Caenorhabditis elegans: one gene and its partner. The protein of the gene in region 2 purifies or fractionates together with the protein of the main gene of each other region. This does not show direct contact. Each region holds a gene or a part of one and is shown on either strand. Other genes may lie near its edges.

Region 1 (8,284 bases), on a different chromosome or scaffold from region 2:
TTTTCTGAAACATGATACATATGATGCTTAAATGCTGAGACTACCTGATTTTCATAACGAGACCGCTGAAAAAGTTTTGAGGTTTCCAAAATTCAACTTTTTTGGTGAAAAAGTAGAGATTTTCGCACAAAAAGTTGAATTTTGAAAGCCTCAAAACTTTTTCAGCGGTCTCGTTATGAAAATCAGGTAATTTCAGCATCATATGTATCATGTTTCAGAAGTTTAGGTTTTGTATTCCCGTAATCCATCATTTTACATTGCCCACTTTCACCGCTGCTTGCCGACTGAATACATAATTTTTTTACTTGGAAATTGTTTTAGCATCTGCAAAAAATATTTATTTATCAGTTTTATTAAGAAAAAACGAAAAAAAATAAGTGAAAAACGAAAGAAGACAAACGGAAAACAAAGCAAGATAAATGGCCGCTGAAACTTGTCGGCCCCTCGGCCATGGCCTAGAAACCACTTTCCCTCGTCCCTCGTGAGGAAAAAGTTGCAGTGGATTTTAGCATTTCTGGTGTGATTTTCCAAACGAAATGCCGGTTTAAACCGGAAAATTTTGTATTTTTCCTCTAAATTGTGATAATACCCACTCACAAGCTCCCTTATATTTCAATAATAATAGAATAATGACCGTGCGAAACGGCCATGTGTCGATTTACGCAGCTCGTGTACTCCTCGAGGAAAAAAACCCGTTAAAAAAATCACGAATATTTTCAATTTTGGCTAAATTCCCTTTAAAATGAGCGAACTCCGCCCACTTTATCTGATTGGTTGGAAAGTGGGCGGAGCGATTCGCTGATTGGTCGCAGTTCGAATTTAGCCAAAATTGAAAAATCGCGATCTTTAAAGTGATTTTTCCGGCTTTTTTGTTGTTATGTGAACTTTCGCTGTTAATGTGAAATTCAGAAAATCTACGAAAAAAGGAAAAAAAATCACGGAAGAATGAAAAATCCAACTTTTAAAAACGAGAATTTTCAGTTTTGGCTGAATTCCCTCCAAAATGAGAACTCCGGGAGGACCAATCAGCATCTTCAAACTCCGCCCACGCAATCTGATTGGTTCAAAAGTGGGCGGGGCGATTCGCTGATTGGTTGCAGTTCGTATTTAGCCAAAATTCAAAAATCACGTTTTTAAATGTGGAGTAGCGCCAGTGGGGAAATTGCTTTAAAACACGCCCATGGGGTCACAATGACCAAATATCATAGTAAAAAAATTCAAAAAAATTTTCTAAATCTTATATGATTTTTTGAAAATTGAAAAAATCTCGAATTGCATCAAATTCCTATTTGAATTACCGCCAATAGTTCGATGTTCGATGGAGCGCGCTTGCATTATTTTAACTTTTATTTATTAGTTTTTCTTATTTTTGATTGATTTTTCATGTTTTTTTGAGTAATTTTACTGGAAATTTAATGAAAAATTCAAGATAAATGTACTTTTTTATTAAAAAGCGGGCGCTAAGGCCTTAATCTTTTAAATATATTATTTCAGGCTCAACGTCGTTGAAAAACGTGCTATCTCTGTTTTCAATTATTTTTAGTGAACAATCTACATTTATCTTGAATTTTTCATTAAATTTCCAGTAAAATTACTCAAAAAAACATGAAAAATCAATCAAAAATAAGAAAAATTAATAAATAAAAGTTAAAATGATGCAAGCGCGCTCCATCGAACATCGAACTATTGGCGGTAATTCAAATAGGAATTTGACGCAATTCGAGATTTTTTTCAATTTTCAAAAAATCATATAAAATTTAGACATTTTTAAAAAAATTTTTTACTATGATATTTGGGCATTGTGGTACCATAGGCATGTTTTAAAGCAATTTCCCCACTGGCGCTACTCCACATTTAAAAGTAGGATTTTCCATTTTCGGGATTTATGGCTAAGTGTTTCAAAGCAAAATCTAGCACAAAGTTTATGAATTTAGGATGAAATTCTCTATTTTTCACTGAATTTTTTCCGATTTTTCGCTCATTTTTCACGTATAAAACCCGCCAAACCCCCTAAAATCTTCAAATTTTTCTGTAGGAATGGACGTACCACCAGAGGATCATCTACGAAATCAAGAGAATCAACCATTACTCGATGAGGGTATTGGAATGTATTCAGAGGATTTGGATCGAAATGATGAACCTGAATATATTACTGAATATGGAGATGGAACAGAATCTGCTCAAAGAGCACAAAGACCAAATGGTATTAATCATAGGAGGAAATTTAAACAAATTTCAAGTTTTTTCCCCGAAAAATCCTTAAATTTCGAGCGAAAACTACCTAAAAATGAGCTCCGTGACTTATGTGTTCTACTCGTATTGATTGCAGTAAAAACGGATATTTATTCACATTTTCAGCGTTTTAAATTGGCTAAAAATGTGAATAAATACCGTATTTCTGCCAACAATTTGACAATAGAGCACATTTGTCACTCGGAGATGCGGAAGCTATGCACAAATTTTGCAATTTTTACTCGAAAACTTGTGATTTTCACAGATGTTCAGTAAAAAATTCGAACTCTCCGTCACTTTTTACACCTGTAACCCATTTTCCAGCCAAATCAGACAAATGTTCGTAAGATTCGGTGCCGAGTACGCAGCCCTCGGTGTTTGCGTACTTTTGGAGCTACCGTAACCCTTGAATTTTAGATTCCAAGCTAGAGACTCAGAAAAACCTTACAAATTCGAAATTTCAGCAATTTTCGCCAATTTTTAGTTTTTTTTTCGGCTGAAATTTCAAAAAAACTATAAAATGCGGAATATTTTAGCGTTTTTAGTCGAAAAATTATAAAATTACAGGATTTTGTTTCAGTTTACAAATTTTTTCGCGTTTTTTAACAGAAATAATCTGAAATATACAGGCTTTATTACTGATTACAGAAAAATAACAAAGTTACGTTTTTTTTTCTGGAGAAAAAAATTTAAAATTTCAAAGTTTTTCGAAAAATCTGAACATTGGAATTGTTTTAAAAAACGAAAATTCAACCTATTTCTACTATTTTCAACAAAAAAACCCGTGATTTTACATATTTTCAACTGAAATTCCGTAATTTGAGATTTTCTTTTCCGAAAAAGAGTTTTTAAAAAAATCCTGTAATTTTAAAATATTCGGCATTTTTTGAAATTTCAGCAGTAAAAACTAAAACTAAAACTTGGAAAAATTTGATGAAATTTCGAATTAACTTTATTTTTCTATTTGTAAAGCTAAAATATTCCAATTTTTTCAAACAGAAAAAATTATTTTAATTCAATTTTATAATTTAATAGAACTGTTAAAAAAAAAAGTAAAACTAAGGAATTTGTGATTTTTAGGTTCGTGAAAAGAAGTTGAAATTTTTTACAAATTTCTTTCTATTGTCCGGGAAAACTTCTGAAAATTTTACGATTTTTCACTCAAAAATTCTCTGAATTTCAGGGCTTTTCGACAAAAAAGTCCTAACACTGCAACTTTTTCCTCACGAGGGACGAGGAAAAGTGGTTTCTAGGCCATGGCCGAGGGGCCGACAAGTTTCAGCGGCCATTTATCTTGCTTTGTTTTCCGCCTGTTTTCTTTTGTTTTTCACTTATTTTTTTCGTTTTTTCTTAATAAAACTGATAAATAAATATTTTTTGCAGATGCTAAAACAATTTCCAAGTAAAAAAATTATGTATTCAGTCGGCAAGCAGCGGTGAAAGTGGGCAATGTAAAATGATGGATTACGGGAATACAATACCTAATTCGCACAAAAAGTTGAATTTTGAAAACCTCAAAACTTTTTCAGCGGTCTCGTTATGAAAATCAGGTAATTTCAGCATCTAAGCAGCATATGTATCATGTTTCAAAAAAGTTTAGGTTTTGTATTCCCGTAATCCATCATTTTACATTGCCCACTTTCACCGCTGCTTGCCGACTGAATACATAATTTTTTTACTTGGAAATTGTTTTAGCATCTGCAAAAAATATTTATTTATCAGTTTTATTAAGAAAAAACGGGAAAAAGCTGTGAAAAACAAAAGAAAACAGGCGGAAAACAAAGCAAGATAAATGGCCGCTGAAACTTCTCGGCCCCTCGGCCATGGCCTAGAAACCACTTTTCCTCGTCCCTCGTGAGGAAAAAGTTGCAGTGTTCACCTAAAAATTCTCTGAATTTCAGGGCCTTCCGACAAAAAAGTCCTAATTTAAAATTCCAAAAATTCCCCCAAATAAATCTGGTCAAATAAAGAAAAATTAATTTCGTTCTGAATTTTTACAGTAAAAATCAAGTTTTTAATGACTTTTGGCTCAAATTCGAGCAAAAAATCGGGAAAAATCCAGATTTTCCAACGAATTTTTTTAGCATTTTCCGACAAAAATTCGAAATTAATAAAAAAATATTTTTTTAAAAAGATTTTGTAAATTTCGAATTTTTCCTAAAAAAATCGGAAAAATTACAAAAATTCCCCCAAATAAATGTGCTCAAATAAAGAAAAATTAATTTTTGCAGGAGCAACAGTTCTCTGCCGTGTGTGTGATGTTGCAGTATCTTTGGAAGGACGTAATCAACAACACGTTGTTAAATGCCATAGTTGTGATGAAGCAACTCCAATTCGTCCAGCTCCACCCGGAAAGAAATATGTGAGATGTCCGTGTAATTGCCTATTGATCTGCAAGGCTTCATCTACGAGAATTGCCTGCCCACGCAATAATTGCCGTCGGGTTATCACTTTGGGTACGGTTATAGTACCCGGGAATTTTTTTTTTAAGGAAAAAAAATGAAATTTTCACGATTTTTGATTAGAAAAACTGGAAATTTCCGGTTTTTTCGTCGAAAAGCCCTGAAATTCAGGATTTTTAGGCGAAAAATTGTTTTTTCCCTTTTTTTGGAAAAAATCAAAATGAAAACCGGAGTTTTAGTTAAAAATAGTAGAACCACGGTTTTTTTGTTGAAAAATAGTAAAAACTTTTGAATTTTTGGTTGAATTTTGAATTTTCATTTTTCAAACGTTTTTTACTATTTTTCAGTGAAAAGAAACTATAGTTTCACTATTTTCAACTGGAATTCCGGAATTTTAGTTTTTTTTTTCGAACACAAAGGATAACTTCTCTGTTTTGAACAACAAAAAAAACTGACATTTTACGATTTCTCCTGTGAAAATTGTAAATTGACATCTTTTTGGCAAAAAAGTCTCTAAACTTCAGATTTTTTTCAAAAAAAGAAAATTTACATTATTTTTAAACAAAAATTTGAAAAAAATAAGTTTTTTTTTTCAAAAAAATATCAAATTTTTTAAAACATATTTATTACGGAAACACATAATTCTGAGAATGCGTATTGTACAACATATTTGACGCGCAAAATATCTCGTAGCGAAAACTACAATAATTCTTTAAACGTTTGTGTCGATTTACGGGCTCGATTTTGTTAAAAGAGTTCAGTTATTTAATAATTGAGCCCGTAAATCGACACAACCGCGCTACAGTAGTCATTTAAAGGATTACTGTAGTTTTCGCTACGAGATATTTTGCGCGTCAAATGTGTTGCGCGATACGCATTTTCAGAATTTTGTTTTCCCGTAATAAATATGTGGAAAAATGTTGAAAATCTTTTTTTTTTTTTTTTGGAAAAACTGTTTTTTTATATTTTTTGATAGAATTTTCAATTAAAAAAAAAGATCAAAATTTCAAGATTTTTTTGTTGAAAAATTGATAATTTTGCGATTTAATGAAAAAAAAAAATATGTTTGCTTTTTTTTAAATTTAAATTTTAAAAAAATCTCAATTTATGATTGTTTTGCTTGATAAATCGATTATTTTTGCGATTTTATTGAAAAAATTTTTTTTTTTTTCAAAATTCCACAAAAATTTTAATTTTTTAAAAATTTTTGCAGCCGGTCAACGGGACCCGGGAACAGCAATTCGTGCACCAATTTTTCGTGTTTTCGTAATAAATATGTGGAAAAATTTTGAAAATTAAAAATTTTTTGGAATATTAAATAAAATCTTTGTTTTTTATATTGATCAAGCTGGAAAATTGTTTTTTTTTTTAATAGAATTTTCAATTTTTTCAAAAAAAAAATCAAAATTTCACTTAAAAATTTGAATTTTTCACCTAAAAATTCAATTTTTCACTCAAAAATTAAATTTTTAAAGAATCTAAATTTTAGATTTTTTGATAGAAAAATCGAATATTTTTGCGATTTTAATGAAAAAAGGTTTTTTTTTCAAAATTCCACAAAAATTTTAATTTTTTTTCAATTTTTGCAGCCGGTCAACGGGACCCGGGAACAGCAATTCGTGCACCAACAGGAAGTTGCCGTGTCAAATGTAATCATTGCAATGAGATATTCCTATTCAATACACTGACAAATGCGCTGGCAAATTGTCCACATTGCAAGAAATATTCGACTGTCGGAAGTTTTGCTCGTCGTCGTGCTCTTTTATTCTTTATTCTTGCTGCAACTGTTGCTGTGTTGGCTGTTATTTTGACAATGTTGACGAATGCATCGGTAGGGCCAGTTTTCAGTGCGAAATTTGAATTTCTCGTGAAATTTTGAGCTTGGAGCGCGGAATTTCTGAGAATTTCGAGAAAGATTGAGCTGAAAAATATAATTTTTCAAAAAAAAAATGTTGTGCTCAAAATTGTGGAATTTTCGATTTTTTTTTGTAACATTTCGAGCTGAAACATTTTTTTTCAAATTGTATTTTTTTGCGAAAAAAAATCGGTAAAAACTCTGAAAAATTTCAATTTCAATAGATTTTTGCAGTAAAAAGCAAGTTTTTTAATAATTTTGTTGGAAAATGTGACTTTTTTTCGAGAATAATCTGAAAACTTTAGAATTTTTTTTTTCTATTTTCAGACAAAATTTATAACAATCCATTAGATTTTTACAGTAAAAAACATATTTTTGATTTTCTAAATGTTTTTTTTTTTCAGAAAAATTGGCTGAAAAATTGAAAAAAAAGGAGAAATTTGAATGAAAATTTGCAGAAAAAGCTTTAATTTTTAATTTTCCAGACAAAAATCTGAAAATTTCAGATTTTTATGATAAAAATCTTTAAATTTTCAAAATGCATTTTGGCTCAAATTTGACCAAAAAAAAAATGGAAAAGAGCATTTTTTCACAAAAATTTGAAAAATTTTCTATAAAATTTTAATTTTCCAGAAAACGTTGAGCTGAAAAATTGGAAAAAAGTTGTAATTTTTAATATTTTCTATCGGAAATCGTTCTGAGAAAGCTTACAAAAGCCCCAATTTTATTAGATTTTTGGCTCAAATTAAGAAAAAAAAGTGGAAAAATTGGAAAATTTTCGGATTTTCAGGCAAATTTCGAGTATTTTCAGACATTCAACAAGATCTACATGGTGCCGATTCTGATTGGGCTCTACGGATGTGCTCTTTATACAGCTTACAAATCATTCAATTATTATACGTGCAGGAAATCGGAAATTATTGGGCCAGTGTAAGGAGTTGAGTGGGTTCGAGTTGAAAATTCAGTGGAAATTATGAAAATTCAATGGAGAAATCATTGTTTTTAGCGGAATTTTGGAGATTTTTCACCCAAAAATTGCCGAAAAACGGAAAATTTCAAAAAAAAAGTTCATATTTTTCACTGAAAAATTTTTAAAAAAATTGTAAATTTTATGTTTTCCGAGCTGAAAAACTGTAATTTCTGAAAATTTCCTTTTTTTTTATTTTGAAAATCGGAAAATTCGAAATGTTTCGATTTTTAGGGATTTTCAAGGTTTTTCAAGCTAAAAAATCTGAAATTTAAAAAAAAAATAAATATCCAAGGTTTTCAAGGATGAAAAATATAATTTTTAAAGTAATTTTCAGCTGGAAAACGTCAAATTTTTGTATTTTTAAAAAAATAAAAACCGAATTTTTCCACCGAAAACAATTTCTCGAAAGTAAGAAAATCTGAAAATTTGTTAATTTTTTAGTCAAAAAAGCTGAAATGTTCTCGTATTTTGTGAGAAAAAAAAACGTATTTTTTCCGGAAATTCAGTTTTTCATTCGAAAAATTGAAAATATTTTGAATTCTCAATTTTTTGATCAAAAAATATAAAAATTTTACAATTTTTCAATATGAAAATTGTTAATTTACATTTTTTCCAATTTCGAAAATCTGAAAAATCTGAAAATTCCAGCTTTTCTTTTTGAAAAATTCGAAATTTTCCGATTTTTAAGTGGAAAATTTGGAAAATTCACGGATTTTCGAATAAAAAATCGGAACATTGCTCAATTTTCGTGAAATTTTAAGGTTTTTCAAGCTAAAAAAATTGAAATTTTGAATAATAAATATCCGAGGCTTCCAAGATGAAAAA
Region 2 (7,180 bases):
TTACTATATTTCTGATCATTTTGTTAGTTGGTCATTTGTTTTCCAGATGTGTATTTTTTGAGATACGCCAGTTTGAAAATACTCAGTTCAGAGAGTTTTGAAGGTTATTTCATTTTTAGATCGAAAGCCACCATCAACTCCAGTGCATCCTTGTCTGACACGTCTGATACTACGGCAGCCTTTTCGTGTCCTATCAAAATTAATATAAATTAAAACATGACTCAGCTACTACTAATTGTTGCCCGAAACGTTGTGTACAGATTGAAAGATTGTAAATATGTATACCCTTTGAAGAAATGAACAAATTGAGTATATGTGCCTTTGATGTATTCTTGAAATACGGTCCTTGTACGTGCCTCTTGACTGATGTAGAAAACGAGTAGACAATGAGCAAAAGATAGGCAATGAGAAAGAGTAGGCAATGAGAAAAGGTAGTCAACGAGCAACAAGTAGGCAATGAGAACAGGAAGGCAATGAGCACAGGTAGTCAATGAGAAAGAGATAGACAAAGAGCAAGGGTAGTCAATGAGCAAGGGTAGACAATGAGAACAGGTAGTCAATGATTTTGGAGTCAATGAGTATTTGCCATGAATATATTTCTAACCGACCACAAACGCCTTTTCTGAAGATCACTTGAAAATTTCTACATGAAGTTTTTTTTTTAACTTGAACTCAAATTTTGAGCTTCGAATTAACAAAAAAAATTAATAGTACAACGTTTTATGGTATGAGAAAAATGAATTGTTGGGAAATTGCAAAAAAAAAAGAAAAAAAAGAACACACCAAAAGAAAACACAAAAACACAGTATATATTCAAAAAATACAAAAAAAAAGAAAAATTAGCTACAATTAAAATCGGTTCGTTTTTCAGATACTTTATAAATATTGAATATTTGTATTAAATCACTTTTCCTGACACGATCTGCGTGAATTTTCTGAAAATTTTATAGTATATGACTAAAAGTTTATTAAGGTCAGCATACTTTCATAGCGTTTACAACGCTCATCATTTTGAGTATTCGATTTGTATCAGTTCCTGTTTGAGATTCTTTTGTATAATAAAGATGAAGATCTGTGGCAATAGTCTCACGAAGTTGATCGAACATTTTCACTAATTCAGGAGTCACTTTTTCACCTGAAGACAAATTACATAAAGGGTTGAACATTGGTTCTATAAGGGAACAAACCTCCGTGATAAACAAGAACTTGTACCAAAATGAATGCAGTTTCAGTGTCAGAAAGTTGAAGTTCATAAAGTGGTTTGCATACTTCATCAATAATTGAATCAACATGAGCGTGGAATTCACTTTAAAAATTGTTCATTAAGAAATGAATACAGTATTTTCCCAATTACACATGATGTACTTTGACCGTTGATATATAGTTTCTATTGGGTTTTAGCAAAAAATTGCCAACTAACAAAATACGTGCAAAAAATTTTTCTAGATTTCGACAGTAGAACATGTTTTGGTAAAACTGAAGAGAACCGAAATATAAGACTTTGAAGAGCGTTGGCGGTGAAAGTCTAATAGGGAAAATGCTGTAAAACTCACGCTTTAACATAATTATTTGCTTGTTCAGTATTTATTGCAGTTTCTGGATTGATTTTGACATTTTTCCAGTCAACAGCACAATAAGAAGATAACGTGGTTTTCTGGAAAAAAATTTTACCTTATTAACTTAAGTCAAGCTTAAGTCAAACTTAAGTCAATCAAAACCTACTTTTTCAGTAATACTCTTCTCGCCAAAAATTTTCACAGACATTTGAGCGCGTTCAAGTCTATCAAACACAGTAAACGACATTTTAACAGTATCAATCTGAAAAAATTGTTTAATTTAGTACCTTAAGAATAATATCTCACTTTTTGTTCATCGGACAACTTATCGAAAAAGTCTACACATTTTACCCATTTTGAGAATTTTTCGGATTTTCGTTGAAGATGTGCTTTGCCATCGGTGAAGGCATTTATTGTATCACAAAACTGAAAATTAGAATGAATTTCTGTAAATTGGAATAGTTATTTCCCGATGTGCGCATAATCCCTCTGTGAGCACAATGAGCTCATCACAAATTAACTATGTTTGTGAGCTTATTTTCATATTTAAAATGGCTTGAAGTTCTTCTGAAATTTCAGAAAATTTCTATGAACGTTTAACATTCTGAGCAAAGATCGGGTTTAACATTTTCCAGCCTTTGAGTATCCAGATTTGGTAATTTCCATGAAATTTTGTTGTGCCAAGCTATTGTCGTCAAATCGGCAACCCGGCAAATTGTCGATCTGCCGAATTTGCCGGTAAAGCAGCAATTGCCGAAAGTTTTCGGCAAACTGTGGTTTTGCACATTTTTTTTGGGAATTTCAGAATTTCAATTTTAATCGGCAAAATTGTATGCATCATTGGAATGTTCCTACATCTACTTTGAAAAGTGAGCAAGTTCTATAAAAATATCTTAAAAACGGGAAAAAATTTCAAAAACGCCCAGTTTAAAATGTTTCCGTTTTATACAAAAATCACTCTAAAAACTTCCGGCAAATTGATGTTCGGCAAACGGTAAATCGGCAATTTGCCGAAAATAAAAATTTCCGGCAAATAGGCAAACCGGCACATTGCCGGAATTGGAAATTTCCGTCAAATTGGCAAACCGGCAATTCGCCGATGTGCCAAGTTTGTCGACAAAAAAATTTGCCGCCCACCCTGTTACATTTCACCGATTTTGCCAAAAAAAAGTTGTTTAATCATTATTGAAATCTTAAATTCAAGTAAGACTTTCAGCGTATAATACCACAATTTCAATATATTTTAAACATTTCGAACGTATCACCTTTATTTGGTTAGCTGATTGCTGATTCTGTCTATACAGAACCAAAGAATGAGTAAGTCTTTGAAGTTGATTAATTGAGCATTGATTTATCATTTCAGGAGGTGAATACTGAAATCAAAAATCTTGTTTAATTTTCTCAAAGCCATCCAACTTCTACAAATAAATGTTTCAAATCGCTAATAATTTTGTCCATTTCCTCATCGTCCCGTCTCTCCGCATCCGGATCTAACTGAGGATTGCCACGCGTCGATGAAGAGCCATCACTACAAAAAGATTCGTCCCCCTTTATCGAACCTCCCGGTTTTACAGTACTACTTCCGGCTGCCTCCTCCTCGTCAGTCAGCATCATCATGACGTTTCTCTTATTTTTACCTCGTCCCCGTCCACCACCGGAACCAGAAGAATTCTTGTTGTTGTGGCTGTCGCGATTGTATTGGACATCTGGAAATTATTTGTATGTACTTAAAGGATTTGGGGCAGTCAGAAGGACACACTTACTATCAGTTGTCATTCCGACGGCAATGCATTTTTTGTAGCGACAATCGCGACACACATTTCTGAAAAGATTCAAAAGATTATGAATCAGAATTTCATAAAAATGTATGTGTCTTAAGGATTAGGTATCCAAAAATTCTCTAAAAATAAATTACCTTCCACGCCCGTCGACATTGCATTTCTGCGTATTTGACACGCAAGTGTATTTGAGATCGAGTACAACAATCCGTCTGGAATATAGGTTGAAACCTATTATTTTAGAGACTGATAGTGAGTTCAAAGAACTGATGTCATGCAAAAAATAAAATAAAACAAATTTAAAAATTGGGACAAGAGAAAGTCAAATCGGATTTAAATGTCTCAGCGCTATACTATCGGCTTATCTCCACGTGTATGAAAAACATGGAGTCCGTCTCAATTAGTCACAGAATTCATATCAAAAATATCAAATATTTGAAAAAAAAATGTTTTTGAGCAAATTTTCTTTTAAACTTTTAAATGAACTAACTTTGTCATTAGAAAGTACAAGCATGTTTCTAAATTTCTATATAAATTTTCAAATAAAAAATTTTGAAACAAAAATTAGACAGGACATTGGCCATTCTAGATTCATACTGTGCACAATTTAAACCCAAGCCCAAACTTTTATATTTTGCGCAAAAATATTTTTTTTTTTTGCAATTTTGTGTTGTATTCCGGGTACTGAAATTAATTTAAAAAAAGTTAGAGTTTCAAGAAAAAATTTTTTAAAGCCGCTTTCATAGTATAGATATTTTGAAAGTTTCCCAAAACTTTGGCTGAAAATTTTGAAAAATCAATTCCCCAATGGTCACTTTACCGTATCCTTAAACGTGAAAAAAATGCATAAATTGTTCTTCAAACTTTTGAATCACATATGCCTAGAAAACAATTTCCAGATTAAAATTTTAGTTCAAATGTTTTAGAACAAAATTGATAGTGAAGCACCTGATAACTTCCTTTGATCGTTTAATAAGCTGTACTGGGCAGTTTTATCATTTGAAAATGCTTTACATTACAGAAGTTCATAATAAAATTTTCTTTCGGGTTTAGACCTTATTGTAAATCCACTAATAACTGTTTTGACTACTTGCACAGACGTCTGAGAATCGAGTATGAGTAACTATTCATTTTGTAAATTGCCTAATTCATTATTGTGAAATATGTCTGTTTAGATACCAATTCACCACTGTCGGCTCGTGACACCTATTGTTCTCTGTTTGAAACTTATCGCAGCGTGATAGAATATGAACGGACTGACAAAATAATATCATTGGTTTGCGAAAACATAGAAAACGAAAAAGAGAAAACAAAGAGAATTCTGAATAAAAAAACAATGACATGCAAGATTAGTTCAAATTTAAACCGAAAAAATGTGAATAGTTACACCTATTGTTACCGGAAAAATGCGGCGCACGGCCGGCAAGTTTGAACTCCAAAGTGCATTCCATGAGCTTCCAGATTGCAAACCCGACATTTTTGTTTTGGCCCATTGTTTTCCTGAAAAATGTGTTGAATTTGCAGAGCTGGCAAAATTGGTTAAGCTCACGATTTCTGGCAAGAACTGAACATGTTGATCATATGTTGGATAACTTGGAGGCTGCTCAAATGTGGGGGACCGCTCGAAACTGGAAATATCCAGATTCGCATACTCGTACCGGGGATACATCTGAAAATTTATGTTTCTGGAAGCTTATTAGAGTTTTAAAGGTTTTTTTAAGAGTGGAGATAGGGTTTTCTAATTATTCAAATAATTTTGACGAAATTTGAAACACAGAACGAAACATTTTTTGATGTGTTAATAATGACGAAGCCGTTGACTTTAAAAAAAGCTAAGGCTTATCCTTAGGTTTAAGCTTAGGCTTAGGCTAAGCTTTAGGCTTAGACTTAGGTTTTGGTTTTAAAAAGGTTTTTAGGTTTTAAAAAGACTTAGGCTTATGTTTAAGCCTAGGCTTGGCGTCACCACTGACGATATTTAGGGTTAGGATTTTCCGTTTTTTTTTATTTTTCAGGGGGTTCCTGTTTAGACTTGGCGTCAGTGGCGAGCGTGAGCTTGGGCTTAGGCTTAGCTTTGGGCTTAGGTTTAGGCTTAAGTTTTCCTTCTCCCCAGTTTAACGGGAAAAATTGGCATTTTCCAATCGGGCCTAACTTTTAAAGTTTTTCTGAAATTTTAGAAATTGGATTATTGTTAAATTCTATTCGTATTTCTGATTCTTGTTTAAAAAAGAAAGTTCTTTTTCTCAGTATTTGCAATGTATTTTCTTTAAGCAATAAACAAACGCTTGGATCGATATAAATATTGCTGCTGCTCTGCATATTTAGTACAGAAATCAGTGAGAGTACAGTAAATTAGAGTAGAAGATTCTTGTCGCCTATTTTTGAATGTGTAAAATACGATAAATGATCAGATGAGAAGTGGGTGGAGTCTATCTCCATTGGGTTATGGTTAATTTTCGTCGCTTCCGAGAAAGCTCAATCCTCTTGAAAACAAATGTTATCTCAAAGAAATTGTATCTTTTATCCCGCGCGACTTCAAAATTCGTTTTCAAAAATTGGAGTCAAATATATATGAGAAATGAGTAAAATGAGTAAAATGACTCAGAAAGTCATACCCTCTTGAGAAAATTGCGAATAGCGTAAAGCTCAGGAAAAACAAAAAATGTGCAAAAATATCGGAAGTGAAAATGATGAAAATGTGAAAGGAAGCCTAATATGCTTGATAATTTGATAATTCGGTTGGTTTGTCTGTTCTGAAAATGCAAAGGGATTTGGAATGGGTGGAGCAGAACTTAAGAACTTCTTAAGAGTGATGTATGACATTTTGGACTTTTTGAAAAAAGATTAGGATTTTCCATATCAAGATTTGAAAAGAGGGTCAATATTTGTGCTGTCTGTGGTTTTTCATTTGATTTAATGTATTGGAAGAATACGCGATTGGTACTTGCTAAGATGGAAAAAAAATGAATACAACTATTTTTTTTTGATATTTATATTTGAATGAATCTATTACATATTTCTGAACAGAACAATGTTTAGCCGCTTTAGAATTGAAAAATACCAAAATAGTTCTGAAATTGGAAAAAGTTTGCAATAGTTGCTAATTGTGAGCATTTTTTGAGGCATTCATATATACAGCTTTTGATTTTTTTGTTACGAGATTTAATAAATATTTTTTTAAAATATTGATTAGAAGTATCGACAATAGGGGTTCTGTATAAAAAAGTGGAAAATGCCCCGAAATAACCGAAAATGACTGAAAAACACTTTTTGAATTTGTCAAAAATTTTGTTGTCTAATTTTTTAAATTAATTAATTTTGATTACGGTGCGGCTTTGGCCTCTGAAGAAAGTGAAATAAAGAATAAAATTTAAAAAAACACAAGACAATACAATGAGGAAAGGTCTCGTTTTTTTCTGATAGTCAGTTTTTAATGAATTTTTTGAATTCAGGCTCAAACAAATTACCTAGTTTTGAAATTTTGAGTTTTTTGAATATTTGAAAAGTTCTAAGTTCAATTTTAATCTGAAATCTTTATTTTTATCAAAAGTCAGAATTTTTATGAGATTAATAATTCTAGCAGAATGTGAAAATAAACAAAATAAACAAAATTTCAGAGACCACTTTGATTCTGTTCTGTCTGACTTAAAATTTGTATTACGTAAATTTTTGAGAAACAAAAGCCATATCTAGACAGAGACTGATCATTGTCTCAGATAAGGACTTATTTTCGAGCAGCGCCAAGTTTCAAAAACCTGTAGACACTTAGACTTCTGGTCTCCACATAATTACTACTTGGCTGAATATTGTTTTAGCAGCCCACCGAGAATTGGAACAAGTGTTCGTGTT

The links. Proteins that work in one complex are often made in the same cells at the same time.
Region 1: the proteins of nhr-216 (region 2) and pipp-4P fractionate together in Caenorhabditis elegans (co-fractionation; one large-scale study listed by BioGRID). This does not show direct contact.

Annotation. Positions count from the first base shown.
Region 1 is NC_003281.10:2,817,245-2,825,528, forward strand, and holds the start of pipp-4P (Phosphatidylinositol-4,5-bisphosphate 4-phosphatase), read left to right. Parts: upstream 1-2,033; 5' UTR 2,034-2,037; coding exon 2,038-2,203; intron 2,204-4,463; coding exon 4,464-4,688; intron 4,689-6,223; coding exon 6,224-6,465; intron 6,466-7,300; coding exon 7,301-7,419; coding exon of another isoform or gene 7,420-7,423; exon of another isoform or gene 7,424-7,426; intron 7,427-8,284.
Region 2 is NC_003283.11:5,353,223-5,360,402, forward strand, and holds nhr-216 (Nuclear Hormone Receptor family), read right to left. Parts: upstream 5,651-7,180; coding exon 5,615-5,650; intron 5,004-5,614; coding exon 4,884-5,003; intron 4,835-4,883; coding exon 4,734-4,834; intron 3,547-4,733; coding exon 3,472-3,546; intron 3,379-3,471; coding exon 3,320-3,378; intron 3,263-3,319; coding exon 2,973-3,262; intron 2,930-2,972; coding exon 2,822-2,929; intron 1,983-2,821; coding exon 1,863-1,982; intron 1,819-1,862; coding exon 1,723-1,818; intron 1,655-1,722; coding exon 1,554-1,654; intron 1,307-1,553; coding exon 1,188-1,306; intron 1,136-1,187; coding exon 984-1,135; intron 936-983; coding exon 840-935; 3' UTR 831-839; downstream 1-830.